Linked DNA regions of Arabidopsis thaliana. The protein of the gene in region 1 interacts with the protein of each later gene in a pairwise test. Each region holds a gene or a part of one and is shown in the gene's direction. Other genes may lie near its edges. The genes, in order: ASHH3, OFP7 and AT1G77250.

Evidence for each region.
Region 2: the proteins of ASHH3 (region 1) and OFP7 interact in a two-hybrid assay, tested with the Arabidopsis thaliana proteins (one large-scale study listed by BioGRID).
Region 3: the proteins of ASHH3 (region 1) and AT1G77250 interact in a two-hybrid assay, tested with the Arabidopsis thaliana proteins (one large-scale study listed by BioGRID).

The regions. Positions count from the first base shown.
Region 1 is NC_003071.7:18,256,837-18,262,066, forward strand, and holds ASHH3 (histone-lysine N-methyltransferase ASHH3), read left to right. Parts: upstream 1-1,732; 5' UTR 1,733-2,026; coding exon 2,027-2,044; intron 2,045-2,124; coding exon 2,125-2,254; intron 2,255-2,344; coding exon 2,345-2,462; intron 2,463-2,586; coding exon 2,587-2,686; intron 2,687-2,763; coding exon 2,764-2,842; intron 2,843-2,935; coding exon 2,936-3,107; intron 3,108-3,203; coding exon 3,204-3,284; intron 3,285-3,366; coding exon 3,367-3,514; intron 3,515-3,647; coding exon 3,648-3,687; intron 3,688-3,777; coding exon 3,778-3,868; intron 3,869-3,956; coding exon 3,957-4,005; intron 4,006-4,101; coding exon 4,102-4,167; 3' UTR 4,168-4,179; intron 4,180-4,268; 3' UTR 4,269-4,706; downstream 4,707-5,230. Other genes in the region: AT2G44140 (Peptidase family C54 protein), read right to left, coding at 1-329. UniProt on the Arabidopsis thaliana protein: Histone methyltransferase.
Region 2 is NC_003071.7:8,025,104-8,028,891, forward strand, and holds OFP7 (ovate family protein 7), read left to right. Parts: upstream 1-1,853; 5' UTR 1,854-1,998; coding exon 1,999-2,946; 3' UTR 2,947-3,170; downstream 3,171-3,788. UniProt on the Arabidopsis thaliana protein: Transcriptional repressor that regulates multiple aspects of plant growth and development through the regulation of BEL1-LIKE (BLH) and KNOX TALE (KNAT) homeodomain transcription factors.
Region 3 is NC_003070.9:29,019,603-29,025,374, reverse strand, and holds AT1G77250 (RING/FYVE/PHD-type zinc finger family protein), read left to right. Parts: upstream 1-1,900; 5' UTR 1,901-2,043; intron 2,044-2,378; 5' UTR 2,379-2,436; coding exon 2,437-2,691; intron 2,692-3,304; coding exon 3,305-3,607; intron 3,608-3,823; coding exon 3,824-3,913; intron 3,914-4,010; coding exon 4,011-4,931; 3' UTR 4,932-5,199; downstream 5,200-5,772. Other genes in the region: AT1G77260 (S-adenosyl-L-methionine-dependent methyltransferases superfamily protein), read left to right, coding at 1-91, 182-341, 491-748, 826-948, 1,047-1,124, 1,216-1,414.

The DNA.
Region 1 (5,230 bases):
TCACTAGTTGTGCTCGGAAGACCGGTCCTATTAGGCCCTAAAACACGCTCCTGGAATCTCCTAATTGCTCCACTAGCCATAGAGACTCTTTTTACAAATGCTGTCCAACCATTACGAGTGGTGCAAACTTGCTTATGCCCAGAAGTTGAAGACTCCCTATACGGTTGAGAAACTGAGGAAGAAGACGTAAACACGTTTGACCATAAGGTAAACTTGGACTTATTATCACTAGGTCCAGAATCTGAAACTAAAGGGGATTTATCATGCGTATCACTCTTGCTTGATGAAGAACATTGTTGAGGAACAAATCTATCACATAAAGCCTTCATTACCTAGACATGAAGCACCAACTGCAACGTGTCCTTCTCATAGAAGCAACCTAAATCCTGAGAACCTTATCTGAAATAATAAGCACAAAAGACACTGAATTAACATCCAACATACTTTTAAGTAGTATCAGAAAGCCAAGATTGACTAAAAACTTCCACAATTAACTTCAAACACTACACAAGATTGGGTGTGTGTGACTTCAAGGTTCAGAAAAGTTTAATCAATTAACTCTCTGAGACCATAACTATAGTTTTGTGACCACTGAAGTTCAGCTTAACACCCCAAAAACAAGTAAGCATGTAACACAATAACGATTCTACAATTACAAACACTAAGCAGATTTTGATGAGAAAATAAACCCAATCCATAGCTTCTTGACCTCTTGAAACATCACAACATAGAATTTTCCGCATGATATTAGGAAGGTTTAGGGAGTCAACAGAGAAATATAAACCAAAATTTTAGAGATCAAAGCATTTGGATTCCACATGCATATTCTCTTAATTGAAGAATGTTTCTAGCAAATGACAAAATCAAGAAACAGACTTGAGCTTGACGAAATTTCAACTCACGGATCTACAGTAATCGAAAATGATCAATTAATCAACTTAAATTTTGACAACTCCTCTTCGTGTAGCAGAATTTCATCATCCAATTTAGCCCAGGAATTCTCACAACTCCGAATTTTTCTAGCAGAGAGAAAACAATAGGAAAAGAAACAGAAGGATCACCTGAGAGATCGATCAAATGGTTTCAGCAGACGACGGAGATGGAAAACGCAAGGGGGAGATCGATTTCGTGTCGTATCTTGCTCGCTTCAACGTCCCGTCGAAGATACCTCAGAGCAAAGACAAACGTGTGTTTCCTTTGGAGGTTTTGGGACAATCTCAATGGCGATTCTTCTTTTTACCTTCTTCAAATCTTTCGCTTTCAACTAATGACAATCTATATCGTTTAATTATTAATTAAACTTCACATAATCAGGGTTATGAATTATGATTACACTTGTTTACCATTTTTTTACGTGGAAAAAAATAAATACTCTCCGATTTACCTGTTTACTTCGGATAAAACGTTCGAATATTATATTAACAATGACATTGATAGTATTTTACTTTACTTTTCTCCAGGTTCCTAATTTTTTTGTTAACACATCCATCAACATGTTAACAGTACACAAAATTAAAATGTTGCTGCTGCTTGCTATTAATGTGATTAGTGATTACGGCTAAAAGGCTATGACATATAAACGACATAAAGCAACAATATTAGTTTGGGTTAATTAAGCTCAGCTAATTTGGGCTAGTTAAAAAAATTGGATCGGATAAAAAAGCCCATATTGACACTGGGCCAACATATCATATCGAGTCAAGTTACGGTTTTACCCTGAAGCCATTTATTTCTGAAGCGTAATTATCAAAGAGAAAAAAAGATTAAAAAAAAAGCAACTGCCGCTCTTTCTTCTTTCTTACTGTCTCAGATCCGCCATTGTTACTTCTTCAGTTCTTCTTCTTCAACAACAACAAGAAGTAATAATTAGGGTTGAGAAACTTCGAATTCCGAAACAACAGAGAGACGTACTAGTTTTAGCCATCTTCTTTTCTTAGTTTCATCGAACTTGGTGTTACCTCAATAGGTCGACGCTCAAATCTTGCTTATTCTCTGGTTTTTAGAGCTTCTTTTAGATTCTTTCGACATGCCAGCCAGCAAAAAGGTCTGTTCAAAAACAATCTCCGCTTCATGGAAATTTTAACTTTATTCTTGATATCTGAAATTTCCAGATATTTTTCTCAGATTTCGGACCGGAATCACTTAGGGCAAGTGTTCGACAAGCTATTGAATCAGATTGGAGAATCTGAAGAATTCGAGTTACCGGAGTGGTTGAATAAAGGAAAACCTACTCCTTATATCTTCATCAGGCGCAGTATCCTTTTTTGCAATTGCAGTTTTGGTTTTGTTTCATTTTGCAGATTTAGCTTTGATCAAGATTTGTTTTGGCCTTGACTTGTTAAAGATATATACTTGACGAAGAAAGTCAAAAGGAGGGTTGAAGATGATGGAATCTTCTGTTCTTGCTCCTCCTCGTCTCCTGGTTCTTCTTCAACTGTCTGTGGGAGTAATTGCCATTGTGGGTATGCCTCTGTTTTTATTTCACTTTTCTTGATCTATCTATTTCAGCATTTCATTGATATAAGACCATAATTATCTGCTTGTTTAAGTACATTGAACTGGAAAAAACCTTATCTTTTGTGTTAGGATGCTATTCTCAAGCTGTTCCTCAAGTTGCAAGTGTGGGAGTGAGTGTAACAATAAGCCGTTCCAACAACGACATGTCAAGAAGATGAAGTTAATTCAGGTAATGTGTGATTGGTTTTGGTTGGATAGAGTGGATTTTTGTTGTTGTCGGTTTGTTATTTTAGTTGTGTCTTGTAGACAGAAAAATGCGGATCAGGGATTGTGGCAGAAGAAGAAATCGAAGCTGGAGAGTTTATCATTGAATATGTTGGAGAAGGTGATGTGACTATTTGATATTTTGTCTCCCTACTGAATATACTGCGACCATGGTCTAATTTGTTTTCTTTTTTCGTACCTTTGCTCAATGTAGTTATTGATGATAAGACTTGTGAAGAGAGGCTTTGGAAGATGAAACACCGTGGCGAGACAAACTTTTATTTATGTGAGATAACCAGAGATATGGTTATTGATGCTACTCATAAGGGAAACAAATCAAGATATATTAATCATAGCTGCAACCCTAATACGCAGATGCAGAAATGGTTTGTTGTTAACTGTCAACCCTTAGTGCTTGTTTCCTAGTTTAGAATACTTGAGAGAGAAAAGTCATCATTTGGTTTACTTTTGCTTGCAATTAGGATAATTGACGGCGAGACCAGAATCGGCATTTTCGCCACCCGTGGTATCAAAAAGGGAGAGCATTTGACCTATGATTATCAGTAAGTTTATATCCTCCTTCTCCAGTTTACTTTGTAACATATCTGTTTTTATGTTGAGTTGTGACACTAAGAAATAGAGCAGGTTTGTTCAGTTTGGTGCAGATCAAGACTGCCATTGTGGGGCTGTAGGTTGCAGAAGGAAGCTTGGTGTAAAACCTAGCAAACCTAAGATAGCCTCGGATGAAGCTTTTAATCTAGTGGCACATGAATTGGCCCAGACACTGCCCAAGGTATTTTCAAATTTTATCTGAAAAGAAGAATCAAATATATATCTCGTCTTTGCCCTGGCATAGTTTCACAGTCACTGAAAAATTTGTGTGATGAGGTCTAAGTGACTCTTTTTCTTTCCCCACTTTTGGTTAGGTGCATCAAAATGGACTTGTAAATAGACACATAGATGCAGGTAAGTTTGGATTTTTTCTGCTCAATTTGCGAGAGTAGCTTATTGTGTTTTGGTTGTAAGAAAGTAATTTGGATTCCCATGTTTCTCCAGGAAAATCATGGAACAATCTTAGTCAAAGGGATACATGTTCGCGTAATTGCATTGGTGTGGTGATCAGGTTATCTCGCCCCACGAGTGATAGGTATTTATTGAGTTTTGAACTCGTGGATTAGTTTTATGACTCATTCTATGCTTTTCTCATCCAATGTTTTATCTTTTGAGATTTTCAGGTGTTTTGGCCTCGTTAGACATTTTGATGAGTATTCAAGAAAGCACTCGGTATTACAATTAGCCAATACTTGTTCCTCACCATCGAACTTGGCAAAATCATTCTCAATTAAGACCTCTCTGTTAACATCTTTAAACTTGGTCCAGGTGATGTTCGAGGATGGTGTTACCGAGTTTGTCGACATGTCGAGAGAAGACTGGGAGATTGTCTAATATTGTTTTCAGGTGATTTATACTCTTCACTCTCTTAATGAAACATTAAAACTCCCAGAAGCATAGAGTATTAAATTACCCTGGCTGCTATGTTTCTGCAGATTGCTTTGAAGTTGAGAAACCAAAATAACCTGTCTTGGTAAACTAAAGGTATCCCAAAAAACCCGGGTCTGACTGACTGGGATTGGTGCAGTGACATTGTTTGTTGCGTCTAACTTGTGACCTGTGTTTGTACAACCATTATAAGAGATATCATATATCTACTTGTGTAACCACATCTGTACTTTCTTCTCCTTCCTTCTTTTTTCATGGGGATCTCAAATGATGATGTCTTGCAAGAACCTTCGTGGTGTGTAATTGACTTTGTAAGAACCGGTAATCTCATATCCGGTTTAGCTTTTAAAAATTTGTATCCAAAGACCGGTTTGTTCTTGTTTGCATGTGCTGTTCTTATTCGTGCATCTGTGTGAGTGTGACTGTGTCGGTGTCGCCGACAAAAGCCGGTGTTTGCAAAATCTGACCAGTTTTGTTTTAGCGATTAACGTTTCAAATTCCTTCAAATGCAAAATGAGTTAAACAAGTGAAAAATTACTAAAACAACATAACAGTTTTAAATTGGAAAAAGTTTTGTAAAGTTTAAAGATACACTGTAAGTGAAAAACGGAAAATTTTAATTAGATTTTTTTTTTTTTTTTTTTTTTTTGGTAAAAGTAGATTATTTTTGTTAAACAAAAGTGATGGATCATTGGTTTTTTGGTAGTAGGTGGGTGATGTGGGTGTGTGGTTCTGGTTCACCAACTCAAAAAGCATAGACTGCAGGGGTTGGGGATTGATAACGACAAATCTAATTGTGGTTGGTAAATCTTTTACTAATCACATTCCTTTAAAATAATTATGTAACTCATCTTGTTTACTAATATCAACTCGACTATCTTAATATCAAATAACTCGGATTCTTCATTTTTTTCACTTTAGAATGGTTTGGTAAATCTCTTGAATAATAAACACTTTAATAAAAATGTTTTTTTTTGTCAAGCATAAAAATGTAACTCATGTTGTCTAA
Region 2 (3,788 bases), about 10 Mb from region 1:
TTTTTAATGATTAAACGACACAAGTAGAAATGTAATCATATTGTAATTTTCCAAAAAGGAAGAAAATAAATAAAGTTGAAAAATATAAATATATGGGAAAGAGATGGAGAAAGATGACTTTGGGGCATGAATCAGATTATATTGTCTCCTTGGATCCTTTGGTCGTTCCCTACTTCGCTTCTTCATTCTTCAAAAATGGATCTTTTTTGTCTTATCATACAACTTTTCACCTTCTTTTAAATATAATATATAATTTATTATTGCAAAATTGGCTTTTTTAAATCCCGAAAGTTTTGAAACCGTATCTTTCAATCTCATAAAAGAGCAGTGCTAATTAATACCCAACACAAAAAAAACTCAAATAATTTAGGTAAACTTTTGACGAAGTGTATAATTACGAGTCAATATTAACAAATGTTAGTTAATTCAGCTGACAAGTGTTTGTCGAAGTGATATGTTCTTCACGTAAAATGCCTTTTTAAAATTATTAGGTTTTTCGCGCGGTAACTTTAAAAATTTGTTTGATAGTAGTTAAGTTAAAATATTATAGTAAGACTAAGAGTATACATTTTCTCAATACATGTGATTGGGATGGTAGGAAAATAGTTACTACTTTCAAAAACCTGATAAGACAATGGATTATCGCATATTCTTTCTTTTAAGGTAAGTTGACTATTCTGGACTTTGCTAAATGTCTTACAAGATTTTGGACTACTCTTTTGCTTGTTGGTTGCTAGCTTCAAATGCAAGCTAACAAGAACTGTGAGTTCTTTTTGGACTAGTCTTATTATGCTTGTTGGTTGCTAGATCCAAATGCAAGCTAATTCGAGCTAAGTAGAACTTTTGTATCGGTCAAACTCGAGTTACATCAATCTTTGATGCCTAGGGGTTAGGGTTTGTATAATTTTCTTAGGATTAGCTTGTCAATTTAAGTCATAAGTATATACAGTATAAAAAAATAGGTATCAACATTGACATCATACATGTGATGACGTTACAAAAATTATTTTAATTACATGTAATTTATTACAAGACTAGGCTAAACATGATTCTGTGCGATACTACGATATGTAATCAAAATTGTGAATTTTTTTCCAAAATATCTTTTCGATTTTTGAAAATATGTATTAACAAAAAAAATTGATCTAAATATATAGAAAGCAAGAAAGTATTTAGGAATAAAGACAAAAAAAAAAGTTCTAAAAAAGAAATGTATTTTGTGGTAAAAAATATAAAACAATTTAGACAGAATGTTGTTGTTTTGTATTTTAATTTAGCCGTTTAATTTCTCAACCTTTCAATTTCATAGGTGTTTGACTTGTATATGCCCACACATGGTTATGTCTTTAGTTTTTTTTTGGTACAAACTATCTTATTCCTATTAACTAAGATCGATATTTAATAAACTCTCAAGTCAAAATGGTTATATCACAATTCGGTATCTTGTTTATGATCGATACAGTATCATCATTCTACTGAAGAAGTAATCGAGAAAACGTATATATATGAAATCCTACATATAAATACGTTTTCTCGACTACCACCACTTCAGAAGAACGATGATGTGCAACTTTTCCTTCACCATTGCTATTGCCAACATCTCTGCAAATCAAGCCTTAGACGTCCACTTAACTAATTTGGGTTGCTTTTGAAAACGCAAAGTATATACATATCACACACATTCTGACCCGTCTAATGACATTCACGGTTCATTTGATCATTTAACTAAGGTAAGGTTTTAGTATGGGCAAAAAAAAGTAGGGATTCGTATAAATAACTTATATTGCAGCTGTCAACAAAAAAAAGATAATTAGTAAATGTAATGTCGGTATAAAGCATACTAAAGCAGAGAAATATTATACAATTTTATATACTCCAATATAAAAGTGTTTGCATATATATAGAAGCAGAAGAGACACAAACAGTTCTCATTTGGTAAATGCTCCATACTTTCTTCACTTCTCCAACAAAACACAAAAAACAAGAAAAGAAAAAAAAATGACGAAACGTTTCAAATTAAAGATTTCAAGAATCCTCTCATTCAAATCTTGCCGTTTAAAAGATCCTTCTTCTCTTCCTTTTAATCCTGTTTCTTCAAGTCTCCGACGTACTTCTCCACTGGTTAACTCCTCCGCCGACGTCACCACCGTGCCGCAACGTCGCCGTTCTTCTTTCAGACTACACGTTTTAACTGTGTTTGGCTGCGGACGCTCGTCCACGCCGTTGGATGTTGATCTGAGAAACTCACCGGTGTTATCTCCGCCGCAAACGCCGACGTTTCAGTGGGAAAGTGAAGGGAAGTGGCACGTGATTGCTCAAGTCACTGAAGAAGAATACGAAACGCCTCGTCGGAAAATATACAACGGTGGGTCGGAGAAAGATAATCGCCGGCGTTTAAAGAAGAAGGAGAAATCAAACTCTCGGCGGCGAGGGAGCATTTCCTCCGCCGAAGAAGAGACTGATAGAGAGAGTCTCTTACCATCTTCTACAAACCTCTCGCCGGAATATTCCTCTTCCGAGCTACCGCGTGTCACAAGACGTCCGAGACAACTTCTCAAGAAGGCGGTGATCGAGGAAGAAAGTGAATCATCATCACCGCCACCGTCTCCGGCGAGACTGTCTTCGTTTGTGCAGAGATTAATGCCGTGTACGATGGCGGCGGCGGTTATGGTGGAAGGAGTGGCGGTGGTGAAGAAATCGGAGGATCCATACGAAGATTTTAAAGGATCAATGATGGAGATGATAGTAGAGAAGAAGATGTTTGAAGTAGCTGAGCTTGAACAGCTTCTTAGTTGCTTCCTATCGCTAAACGCGAAACGCCACCACCGCGCGATTGTAAGAGCGTTTTCAGAGATTTGGGTTGCTTTGTTCTCCGGTGGTAGTGGTGGTGGTCGGAGATCGTCCTCCTTCTCGAGTGTTCGACTCTCAGACTACGATGAGTGTTAAAATAATAATGTTAAAAATTAAAATCCTCTGTTTATGATAATGTCTAACTAAATTCTACTAAATTTTTTTCACTTTTAGTGACGATGTAAATGTTAAATGTAAATTATGCGGCGGTGCAATTATTAAAACTGTAATCATTAAATGCGTAGGCTAATTAAAATATTGTATTTGTGCGATTTAGATTCTAATGCATAGATTGCATATATTCATAATCGTCAACACCAAACCCAAAAAAAGATGTTCATATTCACACGCAATAATTGCTTTTCAAAAATTTCACTTTTTTGGTTACTAAAGTTAAAGTTATGTATACAAAACTAGATTTTGACCCGCGGTATACCGCAGATTTATTTTTTCTAAATAAAATTTATATATTAAGTAAAATTCGTATAGTTGAATAATAGATTATGTATTTGAGTTAACGGTTATAATATGTATTTTTTTTAGAATTTTAGTTAGGATTACGGTTAAAATGTATAGTGTATCTAATAAAAGCATGATAAACTGTATTATGTAAAATTCGATTTTTTTTTAACCCGCGATATACCGCAGGACTATTTTTAAAAAAAAAATAAAAGTTTAATTTGTTTAATAAAATATGATTTAATGTTTTGTATTTTTTAAATGTACAACTCTTATATCTATATATATTTTTAGTGTATAAATACAATGTTTGATTTTTCTCGTATTACTATTGATCCAAATCCATCCTACAATCTAATCCCTTCCAGTGAAATAAAAAATATATAATGGATTTCACTCTTGGTATACCGTCTCGTATTACTATCGACCCAAACTCGTCCTACCATCTAACCCCGTTCAGTGAAATGAAACATATCTAA
Region 3 (5,772 bases), on another chromosome or scaffold:
GTTAATAGAATGCTTAGAGCAGGAGGCTACTTTGTTTGGGCTGCACAACCCGTTTACAAACATGAGGATAACTTGCAAGAGCAGTGGAAAGGTTTGTATATTATTCAACAAAATAATTTGTCTGCTATGGAGTTTAACTAAAATATGGGTGTTGCTTCTGCGCTTTGATTATCTTTTTCAGAAATGTTAGACCTTACGAATCGAATCTGTTGGGAGCTTATCAAGAAAGAGGGATATATTGCTGTGTGGAGGAAGCCTCTAAACAACAGCTGCTATGTCAGTCGCGAAGCTGGAACAAAACCTCCTTTGTGCAGACCTGATGATGATCCTGATGATGTTTGGTACATATATGCATCTGAAAATCTAGTTTCTTTTTAATAGTTTTGAGCCTTCTTGCATAGACATTATATGATAGAACCACCAAATTCTCAGCTTTTCAATTAAAACTTTCTAAAAATCTCAACTTTGTGGTTATGGTTTCCTGTTCCAGGTATGTAGATATGAAACCGTGCATCACCCGATTACCTGATAATGGCTATGGGGCTAATGTCTCCACATGGCCTGCACGTCTTCATGATCCGCCAGAGAGGCTACAAAGCATTCAAATGGATGCGTACATATCCCGAAAGGAAATTATGAAGGCAGAGTCTAGATTTTGGTTAGAAGTAGTAGAGAGTTATGTGCGGGTTTTCCGCTGGAAGGAGTTCAAACTGAGGAATGTTCTGGACATGAGAGCTGGTTTTGGAGGGTAACCATCAATCACACCCTTTTTTTGTTTCTGCCTTACCAAAGTTTATTTGATCTAGTATTTCTTGATTTTGGTAGGTTTGCAGCAGCATTAAACGATCTGGGGCTTGACTGTTGGGTTATGAACATTGTTCCCGTTAGCGGATTCAACACCTTGCCAGTTATTTATGACCGTGGACTACAAGGGGCTATGCACGACTGGTACAGACTGATAACCTTCTGCTCTTTTGCTTCTAATCCCACATAACTTTAACTTACACAAGATCACATTTAAAGCTTTTTTCACTTACTTCCTCTAGGTGTGAGCCATTTGACACCTACCCAAGAACCTATGATCTGATACATGCTGCATTTCTCTTCTCTGTTGAGAAAAAGAGGTAAAAAGATTTAAACTTCGTTTTTCTTTTTATCCTGAATCCAAAAATAAAGGTCAGGAACTTGATTGGGGTAATGAATTGTGGAACATAGGTGCAACATAACAAACATTATGCTGGAGATGGACCGGATGTTGAGACCAGGAGGACATGTTTACATAAGGGATTCACTGTCTTTGATGGACCAACTTCAGCAAGTGGCTAAAGCCATCGGTTGGACTGCTGGTGTTCATGATACCGGGGAAGGACCCCACGCAAGCGTTAGGATTCTCATCTGCGATAAACGGATATGAGGAAAAGAAAAAGAAAAGATACGAAATCGAATGTGATGATAAGTCTGCTCAAAGCGACAGTTCTTCTTAGTGATAAATTGATAATTGTATTATTGTTTATTTGTTTGTTGATTTGATTGTTGAAGAATGAAGAGTGTTAATACACTTGAGCTACTTTAACACATGAGTAACAAAAAGATTCATTTTCTCAGACAAAAAAAAACAGAGAGAAGTGTGAAATAAAGAAACAGAGAATGGTGGGTGTCTTTCAGTTATAACCGTTGGATTGCTAAAGTTGAGATCCGACGGTTGTGACTCTTTGATCAGGGAATAACTAAAAGCACGTGCACATCACGAATCTGTTACTGTGGTGGACTCCGTCACCGTGAGTCTCCGGCGCGGTTTTTATTACTACTTCCACGTGTCAGTTTCGCGTCACTGATTACCGGTTTTGACCGGTTTCAGATCCAAGTTGAAAAATATACCGGTTAAGGGACGCGGAAGTTTAAAAATGATTCAAAGATAAGAAAGGCCGGGATTTACAGAACCACCGGCGAGTCTTAATCTCCGAGAGCCGGTAAATCAATCCTCTTCCTCAAATTTCTAGGGTTTGCTCTTCGTCGGTTCTTTACGCAGATTTCTTCACACTGGTACGGTTTTACTCTCTTTTTCCCTCTTGTCGGTTTTTTCGCTAGAGGTTTGAATTTGGATTTAGCTTTGTTCCGTCTTTTGTAGTGTCTAGATAAAGCTCCATTGAAGTTTCCGTATCTAGAAATTCGTTGTTTTCTGATGAAATTATGGTAGAGAAGTCTTCAATTTCATCGCTTTTTGTTGGAATGATATTGTTTTTTCTAATTTCTAGATGGTTTATTTGGTGATAAAATCGAAGACATTTTGATAGTTTGTTACCAATGGTCAACATTTCCATATGAGATTTCGTTTGTGGGTTATATAAGGACTCAAGTTTCTGTTTTGTCTATTGTAGGATGGAAGATTGGTGAAACCCTAGCTCCACTGTGTGAGGATCAAAACATTTGTTTAAGATGTTCATGGAGGAGGCGACAAGTAATGGTAAAGGTACAGAGCATAATCAGCCAAATGGTTTGGTGGAAAGTGAAGCATTGAATAATTGGAGTGCAGGATGTGGTGCTATGGCTAATTCTGCAAATGCTAGTTCCAGAGATAGTAAGAAGATACAAACATATAAGCGGAGAAAACTTGGGAGATCTTATTCTGCTAATAAATGTTCGGAAAATGATAGATTTTCCATGGAAGGTGTTAGTCACTCAGAAAGCCGGGTACTTTTCATGCCTTTTTCTATTATGGTACCACCTCTTGTTGTGATTGGTTTTAAAATGCTGGAGTATATGTAGTTGCTAGCATTTTGCAACTTTCGCTCACCTCAGTTGTTATATGTTTTGTGAATTTAGTTTATTGGTTTATTTTAGAGCCTTGGCTAAGTAATGTATATTAGGATCTCTATAAATCTAGTGATGGTTGGGTAGTTGCTTCAATAGTGAATATTGGGCCTCAATTACTCAGCATGTTGCTGAGGGAGCTAAAGAGAAGGGTCATTTCTGCTTATATTCGTATGGCTATTCAAGTAACAATTTTGCGATTATATATCTGTTCCCTTCATTTTGTTCAGGCTACATTGGTGTCTAGTGTGTGATAGCTATGTTTCAGGAAACGCTTTGCAAATAGTAGTAAAATCCATATGTGCTGTTAATACTGTGCTTATTGAAAACCTGACTAGAGTTTGCTAAATCATGCATTCATTCCTGAACTTCGTCTCAGGTTATATTTGTGTGATCAACTCATGTGTTCATGATTTACTTTCATGAATATGCTCCTAAAACATGTTAGCTCTTTCTTGTTTTGGATTAATTTTTTCATTAAATTTCTTCACAGGAGTCTGTCTCTTATGAAAGGTTTAGCATAAGAACCCATCTTACTGGTGAACTCCCGAAGCCTCCCAGTCCAAATAAACCATCAAGTGAATCCACCAATCATGAGACGGTGACAGCCGGTTGCCAGCATGTTCTGTCCCATGTTTTAGCTTCAAAGGAGTTTGCATCCCTAAATAGGTTACTTTCCGAAAATCTTCAAGGGGTCAAGATTGATGATTTTACGAGCAGAACTCTGATAGACACCAGGATGAAAGAGGGTGTTTATGAAGGTTCACCTCTGCTCTTTTCAACGGATCTCCAAGAGGTAATTAGTGGAAATCATGCTTAGTCTAAGATAAATATGCATGAAAACAGATTATCATGTCTTTCTTATTCTTTTCATTGTGAAAAATATAGTCTGATGCCGTAGTTCGGAAGCTGAACACAAACTCTTAGCTTGACGAATGTGGTTGTGTTTTCAGTACATATTATGCATTAGATTGAAGGTAGACATAGAACTAAACCTAACTACTGATTTCAGGTCTGGCAAAAAATGCAGGATGTTGGTAATGATATGGCTGTTCTTGCTAATAGTCTCTTAGAGCTTTCAAGAACCTCCTATAAGGAACAGGTGAGGGTCAGGCATAAATGATCTTCTTCAAGGTGCTATCTTATTATAACTTTATCCATCAATCCTCTAATATCTTCTTTATTTCAAAATCTGGAAGTTGAAGCAGTTCTACACTGGGGAATCGAAGCCTTGTCCTAATGCAGAGAACATCAGAAATGACAGTGTTTCTGACATTTGCAAGCTATGTGGAGAGAAGGCAGAGGCAAGAGACTGTTTAGCATGTGATCATTGTGAAGATATGTACCATGTCTCGTGTGCACAACCTGGTGGGAAAGGGATGCCAACACACAGTTGGTATTGTCTAGACTGTACATCTAAGGGAATCGGATCACCTCATGAGAATTGTGTAGTGTGTGAAAAAATGAAAACCCAAGGGATGATGAAGACAGATAACAGATCTGTTGATACGAGTACAGAATGCAAAGAGGATTCGAACGAATCTGAAGAGAATTCAAGCTGTAACATGAATCATGAGGTGCACCACGTAGAGATGAGTAGAGATTCTGAACTCTGTAGGACCTGTGGAACAAAGGTGGATAGTGGCGGAAAGTATATAACATGTGATCACCCTTTTTGCCCACACAAGTATTACCACATCAGGTGCTTGACTTCAAGGCAAATAAAACTACACGGTGTCCGTTGGTATTGCTCGTCATGCTTATGCAGAAATTGCCTAACTGACAAGGATGATGATAAAATCGTCTTGTGTGATGGGTGTGATGATGCATATCACATCTATTGCATGCGACCTCCATGTGAATCGGTTCCAAATGGAGAATGGTTTTGCACAGCATGTAAAGCTGCAATTCTTAAAGTCCAAAAAGCACGAAAGGCTTTTGAGAAGAAGATGGAGACGGTGCAGAAACAGAAAGGAATAAAACCCAAGAATCTCCAAGGCAAACCGCAAAGTAAAGACAATGGAGAATTGGATCAAAGCGTAGGAGGAATGGACATGCTTCTAAACGCAGCTGACACACTGAAAGATGAAGAACAGATGACATTCCAATCCATCAAATGAAGGATTGGATTGATAAGCAAACAAGCAAAATACAGCTTCTTGTCTCATCTACCTAACTTTCAACACTTTAATATTTGATTCTTCTCCACAAATTTGTTTTCGTTTGGTTGCTAACTTTTGAAAGCAAGACAAAGGATTCTGAAGGGTAAACCTTCTTCTAAGAGTAAATTCTTTTCATCAACAGTGCCCTTTTGATCTGCTGATTTTGCACTTTGTTTAACATTATAATGAACTGATTCTTGACCAAAGAGATGATGCTTCATCGGATAATTTTCTTATAAATTTAATCTATTCTACAATATCTTACGAGTAAAAACTCAAACAACAACAAAAAAAAGCTTAATGAGTATTATTGTTACGAGGCCGACCAACCATAGACCGTAAGGGTATATATAACATGTGATTAATTCATCGAACAAGATAAGATTTTAACTAAAATATTTACAGTAGTTAAATAACATAAGATTTCACTTATTACTATTAGATGTTCAAATCAATCAAAATAAATCTCTCAATCTTTCTTGTTTTGGGGGCAAACAATCGATCAATCTTTTTCTATAATCGGTATTATCCACTTCAATAGATGGTTCAATACTTAGATAATTGAAAAAAATGACCGTTGAGCCCAAAAAAAGAAAAAAGTATTAGCCAAGAAGCCTAAGCTAATTAGTTGTTGAGCCCAAAAAAAGAGAAATGTATTACCCAAGCAGCCTAAGTTCAAAATAAAATATTTCAAGTTAATGATTTCTGTTCTACCTAAGCACATCGGGAAAAATATATAATTCATTTCACCAATGCACCATCAGAAGTTGAAAACATAACAAAAGAAAAAATCAATACA